Linked DNA regions of Danio rerio. The protein of the gene in region 1 purifies or fractionates together with the protein of each later gene. This does not show direct contact. Links are inferred from orthologs where the notes say so. Each region holds a gene or a part of one and is shown in the gene's direction. Other genes may lie near its edges.

Region 1 (5,884 bases):
GTGGCGACCCCGAATTAATAAAGGGACTAAGCCGATAAGAAAATAAATGAATGAATGAGAGTCAAAAGATTTTACAGAGGGAATTTTTTTTGAATCACTGCATAATTTAGATAATACTGCAAACATCCAGAAAAAATTTGAGGAACAAAATGTAATATATAAGCAAAGCAAATTAAGTATGAATGAACATACCCCCCAGTTTAATCCCTAAATATATATATGAATTAAAAGTCCTGCCAAATTAAAGATTTAAAACTTAAGAAAATAACACATTTTGAAGGAATGGCCTTTTCATTTATTTAGTGTCATTAAAATCTGCAGACCAAAATTGATTAAATTGATTGCTTGTGTGTTTTGGATGTATGTCAACATATTGTTTTCTGCAGGCCCATGATTGCTAAGAAGAACCCTAAAATCCCCATGTCCAAGATGATGACCATTCTTGGGGCCAAATGGCGGGAGTTCAGCTCCAATAATCCATTCAAGGGTTCGGCAGCAGCCGTCGCTGCAGCTGCTGCCGCTGCGGCTGCAGCCGTTGCCGAGCAGGTCTCCGCAGCAACAGCCTCGCCCGAACCTCCACCTCAACCACCTCCACTACGCAAGGCCAAGACCAAAGAGGGCAAAGGTGGCCAGATTTATTAGTCGCTATTTTATATAAATACAAAGCTTGTTAACAATTGAATCTAGAGAATTGAATTGAAATGAATAGCATATAACTTAATTGGGAAAATTACCTAGCGAATGTCATCATGCTTTCCTCAGCTGATCACAGTACAATTAAGGTACAATTACAGTACAATTAAACACATTTAGGTCATTCACAATAATAATTAGGATTTTTAGCTCAAACTGTGGTACTTGGTGATTCAAATATAAGTCAAAAGTTTCTGGCTCTTGAACTGTAATTTAAAAAACACATACAGGCAAGTATTGTAACTATATATATATATATATATATATATATATATATATATATATATATATATATATATATATATATATATACATTTTTTAATTAATTAAAAAATAAAAAAGTCACCTTCATTTTTTACATTTATTTTCACTAATTTAAATGAAGACAAAATTTGTAAACATAACAGCCCAAAATCTCAAAACGTTAGAATGAGTGCCAATTAATTACTATTACACATAATGTAATTTTAAGCAATTTTTAAAATATTTGTTTTGTTTATTAAAATGTTCTGACATCTGAAATATCTTCTAGCATTTAAAAATGATGCATGATTATTTTTATTAATCTAGACAGAATACTTATATTAGAATACCAACATTGACAATTTATTGTTTATTGACAGGCCCTGGCTACAAGAAACGAAGTAAGAGCCCTCGTGTCTCCGACAAGAAGAAGCCAAAACCCAAGAAAATGGCTCCCCTGCGCATTAAACTGGGAGCGATTGGTAACAAGAGGAAGAAGAGCAGTTCAGTGAGTGTCTGTGTATAACCCGCTTGCACAATAATGTGTGTTGCGTGCAGTGTTTTTGATCGTGTATGTGTGTGTGGTTGAAATGCAGAGTGAGGAGGTGGATGAGGACGACTCTGAGCAGGAAAACTCCAGCGTTCACAGTTCTTCAGTCCGCTCTGACAGCTCAGGACGGGTCAAAAAGAATAAAAGGGGTCGCCCTGCCAAGAAGAAGAAAAAGGGTGAGAATTAGCTTGTTGCTATTATCACTGCAGGTCCGTCTAAACTCCTGATAGATGGGTTTTTGAGTGCACAGACACAAAGTGTAATAAACAATTCTCTTTTACATCAAATTATTAATGTGATAGAGGTTTTTGTTCATTGCCAGAGAATTTAGGAAGATAATAATTACCCTAGGTGGTTTAAATGATTTTATTGGTTAAAACAGTAGTAGACATTATGCATCAGAGGGGTAAAGTTAATGTTGTATCTCTCTCCATATCTTTCTGTCTCAGCGCTGGGCGATGAGGATGGCGATGGCTATGAGACTGACCATCAGGATTACTGCGAGGTGTGTCAGCAGGGAGGAGAGATCATTCTGTGTGATACCTGTCCCAGAGCTTATCACCTGGTGTGCCTTGAACCTGAGCTGGAGAAAGCACCTGAGGGCAAGTGGAGCTGCCCTCACTGCGTGAGTCACTTCCACTCAAACCTTCAGAGTCACAGATTGATTTCAAAGTGGTCCTGTCACCTTTTATGTAATGGTTATTATAATGGTTTGTCATTGTAAAATGTCTGTGGAGCTTCAGAGATCAAAGCAAACTTGGAGTTATGTTCTCCCATAAGAAAAAACTGATTGTGGACTTAAATGAGTAATCTTTAGGCCTTATCAACTATCCACAAACAGCATCGCCAAACACTGTGGTGTCGCTGAGTATTAGAGTTTGGTTTTTAGTGTGTCAACAGACATGTTTTCTGTTCTGTGAATCAAATCCACTTTGCATGCATTTTAAAAATGATTTGAAATGATACAGTAACAGTAAAACTGATGCTATAATTGCTGTTTGTATTAATGTGTATAGAAGTGTCTCTGCTGTGAAATGTAGATATGGTTATGCTCATTTGGTTTATAACCAGGGTGCAAATTATACATTGATGATCAGGGGGGGTCGACTCTTTTGGTAAGTTTTTCAGTGTATCCAATTTATTTATTTAAATGACATCAAATTTATGAATAAGTCATATTTAAGTTTTCAGTGTTTTGTGGGATATTTAAAGTATTTTGGCACACATTAACCTCTGATTATTTCTGGTTACTGTAGCTCAAACTATTCAAACTATGCGTCTAATTTTACTTTACTTTTAGTAAATTCAAGCAAGAAATAGTGTCTCATGACCACTTGTGATAGCCATCGCTGCTCTAGATCTGCTGGTTTAGACTGTTGAATGATTCTTGCAAAGACTGATTGGCGCAATTATGCATGAACCCCTATAATTGTATTTTAACATAGTATTGGTATTTCAGTGTTTTCTCTAAGATTTTTTCAAGCTGTGGCGGCAGGCCTTTTTTACACAGATCTACCTATGGTGTTATTTCAATGACAAATGTTGTGAGTGCAGTATTAAGTCGAGATCGCTTTGCTTGGGCTCAGATTTCCTCTGCCTGTGCACAAAACTTCTTGCACGCTCCCTCAAATATATGCTGCTCAAGCGCAGATCTTCTTGTGCGCTTTCAAATAGGGTTGTAACGGTATGAATTTTTCACGGTATGATAATCGTCTAAAACAATACCACGGTTTGACGGTTTCGCGGTATACGGTATTAAATAGTAATTCTCATAGCAAAGACCCTGAAAAGAATAAGAACACGTTTTCTGACTGAACAAAGGTTTTATTTCAACAAACTTTTGAAAGAACCATTTTAATAGAACTATAGAAGTCTTTTATAAAAATAAACTGAAAAATCTCCCATTTTAATAAATTAAATTAGAAGGAATAAACAAGCAAGGTCTTTTAAGATTAGACAAAAATAAACTTAAACTGTCCTTCCTTATAAGCAGGATAAATGGGAGACCAAAAGTGCAATACCAAGTTTATGGCTGTAAACATGTATTTAAAGCGTTGTTTTTTTCAGTCTAGGTTGTGATGAAGAAATGTAAGCATGTTGAGATTTTCAGGACTTAATCTTGACCGCAGAGGTGAGAGAATGTGTCCACTTGTACAATGAACAAATAAAAAAATAAGAAAATAATAAATAGTGTGTCAAAGTCCAAATAAACATGGTGCAAATCCTCAGTAAAAAATAGATATAAATATTTACTATACTATAAATAGTTACATAACGAAACTAGATTCAATATGGAACATCCTTAGGTTTTATGTGCCAGCATGGATATGGTTGTCTGTGGATATGGATTTGGATATGGTTGTATGCAATGCAGACAAACAGCTGCACCTTCATTTGTGTCTTTTGAAAACAGCAAGAGCAGCAGTTCGTCTTTGCTGTGTCACTGTTTTGTCATGTTTCTGTGCTGCTGTGCATGCAAAAGTACTTGGTATGAGAATTATTTCATGCAAAACTTTTTTTTTTTTTTTGCGTTTTATTTAGCCGCGCAGAAATGTATGCCTATCTCTCATTCCGTGTTGTTCAAAAAGCTCAGTGTTGGTCCACAAACAAAAGTGAAACCTATGCTTATTGGTTGTGATATAGCGAGTTTGAACCAATCTGGGCATGAAGGAGGGACAATGCATCAATGTATCATGTCTGGTTTGTCCGGAGACACAGTGACGAGCGTTTCTTTGTCAAATCAGCGTTGTCAAATTTTGATGACGTAACCGCACTGATTCCGGAGCCTCTGAATGTCCGTGAATGTTATGTGATACAGCACTGGAAAGCTGAGATTCTCTTCTTTATGCCAATCTTTGAATTGTATGAATCGGATCAGCGGATCAAAAGTTATTAAACATTTAAGAGCAATACTTATTTTTAGCCGCGGGCGGCTGTCTCGGTCTTTAAGGGTTAAAACCGTTGATATGCAATTGTTCATGGTATGATAATCGTGCACGTTCAAATCGTGGTAGACCGTCATACCGGTATATTGTTACAACCCTACTTTCAAATAAACGCTGAAGTGCGATTTAGGTCCACAACCGTGATCGTTTGGCGTATGGTACGTTTAGCTAGTGTGAACGTTGTCTCCTAAACTCAGATGTGCACCCGTAAACCGTACTCAAGTCCACCTGAAGGGGTGGTCTGGGGTACGGTTTGTGGGAACTCTAGTACAGTTCACTTCTGATATGAATGCAATCCTACCAAATAATAGAAGTGAACCGCCAACTGTACAACAAACTTTAGTTTTCATGTCTGTATCACCTACCTTGGTGACAAGCGGGACTGAACTAGTGCAAACCGTTATGATGTCTGCTTGTCTCCTCTAAAAACGACTTATAAAGACAATGTGTGATGTTCTTAACATTCTTAATCCTTTTGCGAATTTTACATTTTTTTTAATTTAAATTTTTATTTTTTTATTTGATTTTTTAAAAATATAATTGTAATACTTTTGCATATTTTGGTTTTAATAACTGGGGTGGGGTTGACAGACCATGCATTCGGACCAAGTGTGAAAGCACCCTTAGAGAGAATAGATCTTTAAATGAACCATTTTAGACACTGTGTGAAAAGAGGTGATTTTGCAGTATATATTATAAGAAAAATAACTCTTTGATGCATACAATCACACGGGTGTGATCAGTCTTGGCTGGTCTCTGGAGCTGCGATCACACTGCTATGTTTAGAACTGTCAGTACATCAGCTGCTAAATACAAATCTGCTTTCCCATGAGGACTCACACTGAGCCAGAGAAAAGATGTGCATGACGCTAGTCAAATCACAATTTATCAGTGTTAGTTTATTTTAGGTTTTAGACATCTTAATACACATAAGTACCATAGCAAACCATAAAACTTTTATTCACATCAGATTCACAAAGTTTGGGTTTACCCTATTCTTCTCCTAGTTAAACAGTCACTTGCATGACTTGCTCCTCTACAGGTAAAGCAAATATGGCGGACCCTCACCCATCACAGATCAAATAATATGACATTATTAAGCTGTTTAAATGATGAAATAAAACACCAACATTAAATTAAAAAAAGATACTGGCCTTAAAAAAGATAATGCTTCCCCCACATTTTTTATATGAGGAGGTCATCAAAAAGCAGGTCATCTTTGTTTAGGATCTTCATATTGAGCTGTTCTAGATTCTGGGTAATGACAGTGTGTATTTTCAGGAGAAAGAAGGGATCCAGTGGGAAGCAAAAGAAGAAGACTTTGAGGAATTTGAAGAGGAGTGTGACGATGTGCGGGATGTGGAGTCAGGGCTTGGTGGAGAGGAAGAGGAGGATGACCACATGGAGTTCTGTCGAGTGTGTAAAGACGGAGGAGAGCTGTTGTGTTGTGACT
Region 2 (6,365 bases), on another chromosome or scaffold:
CTGTGCTCACTGGAGCTTTCAGAGCAGCAGAAATGTTTCTGTCACCTTCCCCAGCTTTGTGCCTCCAGACAATCCTGTCTCGGAGGTCTACAGACAATTCCTTTGTCTTCATGCTTGGTTTGTGCTTTGACATGCTCTGTCAACCCTGGGCTCTTATATAGACAGGTGTAGCCTGATCAGATCATGTCCATCAGCTGAATTGAGCACAGCTGAACTCCAATGAAGCTGCTGAGACATCTCAGGAATGACCAGTGGAGACAGAATGACTAAACTCAACTTGGAGCTTTACACCCAAAGGCTGTGAACACTGATGTACACCTGATTTATCAGCTTTTTGTTTTTAATAAATCTGCAACAATTTCTAAAACTCTTTCTTGACATGGTCATGATGGGGGATTGTGTGTAGAATGTTGAGGAAATCAATTAATTTAATGCGTTTAGTAATAAAGCTGTATCATACACATGTGGAGAGTGAAGCGCTGTCAGTTCTCTCAGGATGCTCTGTATATTCACTGCGAGTCCTTTATTATGCAGCATAGTGTTTCTACTAAACCCGGACTTCAGACACACCACTCACACAGATACTGTATTAAACCAGGGTCCCCGCGGGGTCTTAAAAAGTGTTAAAGTCTTAAATTAAAAAATCGAAATTAAGGGCTTTAAAAAGTGTTAAATTCGCTGTTCTGGGTCTTAAATATTTCTGCACTGGTCTTATTTTTGTGATGTCCATGTACCGCTACATCTAATGCTCATTTAAATTCTTGTTATTGTTGCTTGGTTTTTGGGGTGTTGTAGTTCTTCTGTATTTCACTAGTCCAATTGTAATTTGCGGTATTACAACTACAAAAAAGTCAGCTTGCAATAGCCAATCAGCTTTCTGTTATTAAACTCAGTGCGCGCGGTGAATGTGACGTCATCGCTGTGTTTGCGGTAGTTCGCTTTGAGTGTGCGTGATGATTTCGGCTGGCAGAGTGTGCCGTTATTTCACTGACAAATGTCGCAAGTGCAGTTTTATAAGTCGGGAGCGCTGTAATACGAGAGAGCGAATCTCTGCTCACGCACCGGTTTCCTTCATAGACAAAACTGCTCGCGAGCTCTCAAAACACCGGCTGCTCACGTGCGAATGATCTGCTCTCGCTCGGTCGCACTCCTCTCGTGCTTTTCCAGAGATGCTTCAGCGTACTGTAGTGTTAAGAATAGTGAACTGATAAATGAAATACAGTGCAGTTTTACTACAGTAAAGTGTGGTGAATTGTAGAATAATATACAATATATTGTAAAAAACTTAAGCACTGGGGAGTTTATTATACACTTACCATAGCAACTGTAGTATTACCACAACAGAGTAACTGAAGCACTTTACTGTACTTCACACAACACTGTACAGCAGACACGTGTGCACTTTATTTCAGTGATAAAATGGGACTGATAGTGGGATTTATTTGAAGAGTGAACAGTACAGTAGGCTATAATACATAATCAAGTCTTTACCTATTTTCTATCACAGCTACACTTCTGCTTGCCAGATTGACCAATAATTATTGGCTAGAAACTGCAACAGCCATGGGAAAGGAGGAAAGCTTTTGTAAAACTTTGGGAAAACTCTGAGGGATGAGTTTGTTAAAACAAAAAAGAGGCCTTCAAAAACATCTTCAGTGATGATGATGATGATCTTTTTACTCGTCTGATTTTACTGTCTGTTGTTTTGGAGTGCCCCCTGTCAAAAATATATCTCAATGGTGAACGTGTCGAGTATAAAAGTCTTAATCTGTTTTGTGAGTTGTGCGGCGCCAGGTGAAAGTATAAATCTGCATTTAGATGTTTGTTTTTCTGTAGTTCACTGGTGCATTTAACCTGACTTTACTACTGTTCAATCTAAATAACTTTATTTTACCCCTAATTTTGTGCTTCTACATTTTCTGTCGTGTGTTCTTGATATTGCGATATAGGTCTTAAATTTAATACTTAATGGTCTTAAAAAGATCGTAAAAGGTCTTAAATTTGACATCATGATATCTGCAGAGACGCTGTTAACATGCTATACAGTGCAGAAGTGTGTGATTCGGGACACAGCCAGAGCCTCACTCCTCCTCCGTGTGTGTGTGTGTGTGTGTGTGTGTGTGTGTGTGTGTGTGTGTGTGTGTGTGTGTGTGTGTGTGTGTGTGTGTGTGTGTGTGTGTGTGTGTGTGTGTGTGTGTGTGTGTGTGTGTGTGTGTTTTCCTCAGGTCTGATCATCCCGCAGAACTGTGTGTCTCCGCTGGTCAACATCCTGTCATCATCAGATCAGAGTCAGCAGCTGGCGGTGCAGCAGCAACATTTATGGCAGCAGCTGCACCCGCAGAGCCTCACACACACACCTCTCACGTAACACACACACACACACAGGACAGACCGACTGCGCTCAGGGTTTCCCACAGTCCCCCGGGGTCTGCTTCTCCTCCAGCATGCGGACAGACGCTCTGCATGGATCAGCTCCGCTTCAGGACGTGGCTCTGTCTCCTGGCCGTCTGAGAGCGTGTGGCGGGCCGGCTGGAGCCTCTCCAACTCTTGCTTTTTAATGGTTCTTGTTTTTGTGTTGTTGTGTGGAGGAGCGGCTCCCGGAGCTCGTCTGCTGTACATGTTGGACTCTTCTCTCTCCGTGTATATCTGACATGTGATGTTCTTCTGCTCTGCGTGTCCTTCATCTCTGCACGAGTTGCACTACTGACGGATCTGATGTACAGAGAATATAACTGACTGCAAGACCTCTACCTCTTGCATTTGACCAATAAATCTTGTGGATTACCTCGATTTGACGGCTGTGGTTCATGTGATGTGCTCCTCTGTTGTGTTCAGCTCAGTGGAGGAGAGGAGACGGCACGCCTGCTCACCTTTACATTCTGCAGTTCATCTGCAGTTATAAGTGAGAGTAAGTGAATCATGTGCATTTATACAGTTCATACACATGACGACAACACCACCAGTGTGCAGGACAACAGCGCCAGTGCTTCACCACACACCAGCTAGAGGTGGAGTGGAGAGACAGTGATGGAGCCAGTTCAGTGGATGGAGCTGATGGAGGGAGTTTGGCCAGGACACCGAGGTTACACCCCTACTCTTTACCAGAAGTGCCCTGAGGTTATTAATGAGCACAGATAGTCAGGAGCTTTGTTTTAGGTCTCATCTGTAAGACTGAAAACCACTGATAGCCCCACCCTAAATTACTGAAAGCTCTGCCCTAAATTACTGATAGCCCCACCCTAAATTACTGAAAGCTCTGCCCTAAATTACTGATAGCCCCACCCTAAATTACTGATAGCCCCTCCCTAAATTACTGATAGCCCCTCCCTAAATTACTGATAGCCCCTCTCTAAACTACTGATAGCCCCTCTCTAAATTACTGATAGCCCCTCCCTAAATTACTGATAGCCCCTCCCTAAATTACTGATAGCCCCTCCCTAAATTACTGATAGCCCCTCTCTAAATTACTGATAGCCCCTCCCTAAATTACTGATAGCCCCACCCTAAACTACTGATAGCCCCTCCCTAAATTACTGATAGCCCCGCCCTAAATTACTGATAGCCCCACCCTAAATTACTGATAGCTCAGCCCTAAATTACTGATAGCCCCACCCTAAATTACTGAAAGCTCCGCCCTAAATTACTGATAGCCCCACCCTAAATTACTGATAGCCCCTCTCTAAATTACTGATAGCCCCACCCTAAATTACTGATAGCTCCTCCCTAAATTACTGATAGCCCCTCTCTAAATTACTGATAGCCCCTCCCTAAATTACTGATAGCCCCACCCTAAACTACTGATAGCCCCTCCCTAAATTACTGATAGCCCCTCCCTAAATTACTGATAGCCCCACCCTAAACTACTGATAGCCCCTCCCTAAATTACTGATAGCCCCTCCCTAAATTACTGATAGCCCCTCCCTAAATTACTGATAGCCCCACCCTAAACTACTGATAGCCCACCGTAAATTACTGATAGCTCCACCCTAAATTAATGATTGCTCCGCCCTAAATTAATGATAGCCTCAACCTAAATCACTGATAGCTCCACCCTGAATTACTAATAGCCCCACCCTAAATTAATTATTGTCCCGCCCTAAATTATTGATTGCCTCACCATTAATTACTGATAGCCCCACCCTAAATGAATGATAGCCCCTCGCTAAATTGCTGATAGCCCCACCCTAAATTAATGATTGTCCCGCCTTAAATTACTGATAGCTCAACCCTAAATTGATGATTGCCCTGCCCTAAATTAATAATAGCCCCGCCCTAAATTACTGATAGCTCCACTCTAAATTAATGATAGCCCCGCCCTAAATTGTTGATAGCTCCGTCCCTAAATTAATGATTGCTCCGCCCTAAATTAATGATGGCCTCACCCTAAGTTACTGATAGCTCCACCCTAAATTAATGATTGCCCCGCCCTAAATTAATGATAGCCTCACCCTAATTTACTGATAGCTCCACCCTACATTAATGATTGCTCCGCCCTAAATTAATGATAGCCTCACCCTAAGTTACTGATAGCTCCACCCTAAATTAATGATTGCCCCGCCCTAAATTACTCATAGCTTTTCCTTGAACACAGACAGTTCAACTTTAAATTATTTCTAGCCCCGCCCTAAATTACTGAAACCTTTTCCATCCAGACACTGATGCGGCTGTGGCAAGGTAAAAAGTTGTAAGACACGATGTCGTCACGTGGAGGAGTTTATGCGTCTATAAATCACGTATTTCATATTTAGAGGGTGAAAAAACAATTCTGGCGTATTTGAAGAATTTTAAAGGGACAGTTCATCCATAACTGACAATGCACTCACCCGAGAGTGTGTTAAACTGTTATAGGCTTCACTTCTCTGTCAAACACTGAAGATGATATTTTGAAGAATGCTGGAAACCTGTAACCATTGACTACCATAGTGTCTGCTTTTCTATTATGGCAGTCAATGGTTACCGGTTTTCAACATTTTTTTTTTTTAACATCTTCAAACAGAATAGTCAGAGTCAAAAGTGAGTAAATATTGATTTTTGAGTGTACTGTCTCTTTAAAAATGTTACAAGCCTGTAACCATTGACTTCAATAGTGTGAAACAAATACAGTAGAAGTCAATGGTTACCCTTTTCCAGCGTTCTTCAAAACATCGTATTTGGTGTTCAGCAGAAGAAATAAAGGTGGTGTGAGAGTTAAAGGGTGAGTAAATGAAGACGCTATTGTCATGTGTGGGGGAACTGACCCTTTAGCTCATGGCTCTTAAACTGGATTCCTGCAGTTTTCCCCACTCCTAAAGCTGGTCAACCAATCGAGATGTTCAACACTACTAGAGACTGTTAAGCAGCTGTGTGGTGGAGATGGAGGTGGTTGGAGATGAACTATGCAGAGCTTGTTTGAGTTTGAGACGGCTGCTGTAGTTTCTTTAACACGAGTGTTCATGATCAGAACTCAAGCTTTCCCTCATTAACTGAACATGTTTATTAATACTCGCTGATGGACTTCAGTGAGCACTGCTCAGAATGACTCGTTCTCATCTTGACATGCTGTAAACCAGTGTTTCTCAACCATGCTCCTGGAGGAGCACCAGCACTGCATGTTTCGGATGTCTTCTTTGTGTGTGAGACTCATTACAGGTCACCGTCTGCTAATGAGCTAAATCAGGTGTGTTTGGTGAAGGAGACCTGGCTAATGTGCAGACCTGCTGCTCCTCCAGGAACATGGTTGAGAAACACTGCTAGAGTTGATGATGAGCTATTGGGTTATTAGGCAATAATGTGAAGTGGAATGTTCATTACTCTGCTCAGACTGCAGTTCCCACACTGTAGCACTCGTGTCCTCCACATCTGCTGCTGCTGCTGCTGTGATTCTGACTGATGTAGCTGTAATAACTCTCATCATTCAGCGGAGTGATACGCGCTCTAAACCTGCCGGAACTACTTTAGCTGTGCCTTTATCTGACAATAACCAAACACCCGAGCGTGAGCAGCAGCCAATCAGAGTGCAGCGTTCAGCAGAGCTGTATTTATGCTTCATTTTCTTTTCGACTCAGTCTCTTAATTAATCAGGGGTCATTTTGATTTAATTAAGGTGGTTTTAGTTATTAGACGCTCGTTTAATACAGTTAAAGAGCATATTATAATAATATAATGCAGATTAATCACACATGATGGAGCTCTTCCTGTCTGATGTGGAATTAAAACATGAGATCTTCTAGTTAACAGCCTGATGGACCCTGCTGCTGTCTGTGTACACTATTGCGGCCCTCAGGTCAGACACGATCCTCCTCCGCTGATCCTCCACAGTAAAGCAGATCCGGGTCATATCAGCCCTCAAATGCGTTCATCCTGAAGACACGCGCTGAATGTTCGGG

Evidence for each region. The genes of interacting proteins can lie anywhere in the genome.
Region 2: the proteins of chd3 (region 1) and cdk2ap1 purify together in Homo sapiens (affinity purification with mass spectrometry; 6 studies listed by BioGRID and IntAct, with this or other methods). This does not show direct contact. The link is inferred for Danio rerio from reciprocal best matches to the Homo sapiens genes CHD3 and CDK2AP1.

Annotation. Positions count from the first base shown.
Region 1 is NC_133182.1:20,734,127-20,740,010, reverse strand, and holds part of chd3 (chromodomain-helicase-DNA-binding protein 3), read left to right. Parts: intron 1-386; coding exon 387-625; intron 626-1,316; coding exon 1,317-1,444; intron 1,445-1,532; coding exon 1,533-1,662; intron 1,663-1,935; coding exon 1,936-2,111; intron 2,112-5,712; coding exon 5,713-5,884.
Region 2 is NC_133185.1:50,698,517-50,704,881, forward strand, and holds the start of cdk2ap1 (cyclin-dependent kinase 2-associated protein 1), read left to right. Parts: upstream 1-2,405; 5' UTR 2,406-3,082; intron 3,083-6,365. Other genes in the region: sbno1 (protein strawberry notch homolog 1), read left to right, coding at 2,226-2,368. UniProt on the Homo sapiens protein: Inhibitor of cyclin-dependent kinase CDK2. Also acts as a component of the histone deacetylase NuRD complex which participates in the remodeling of chromatin.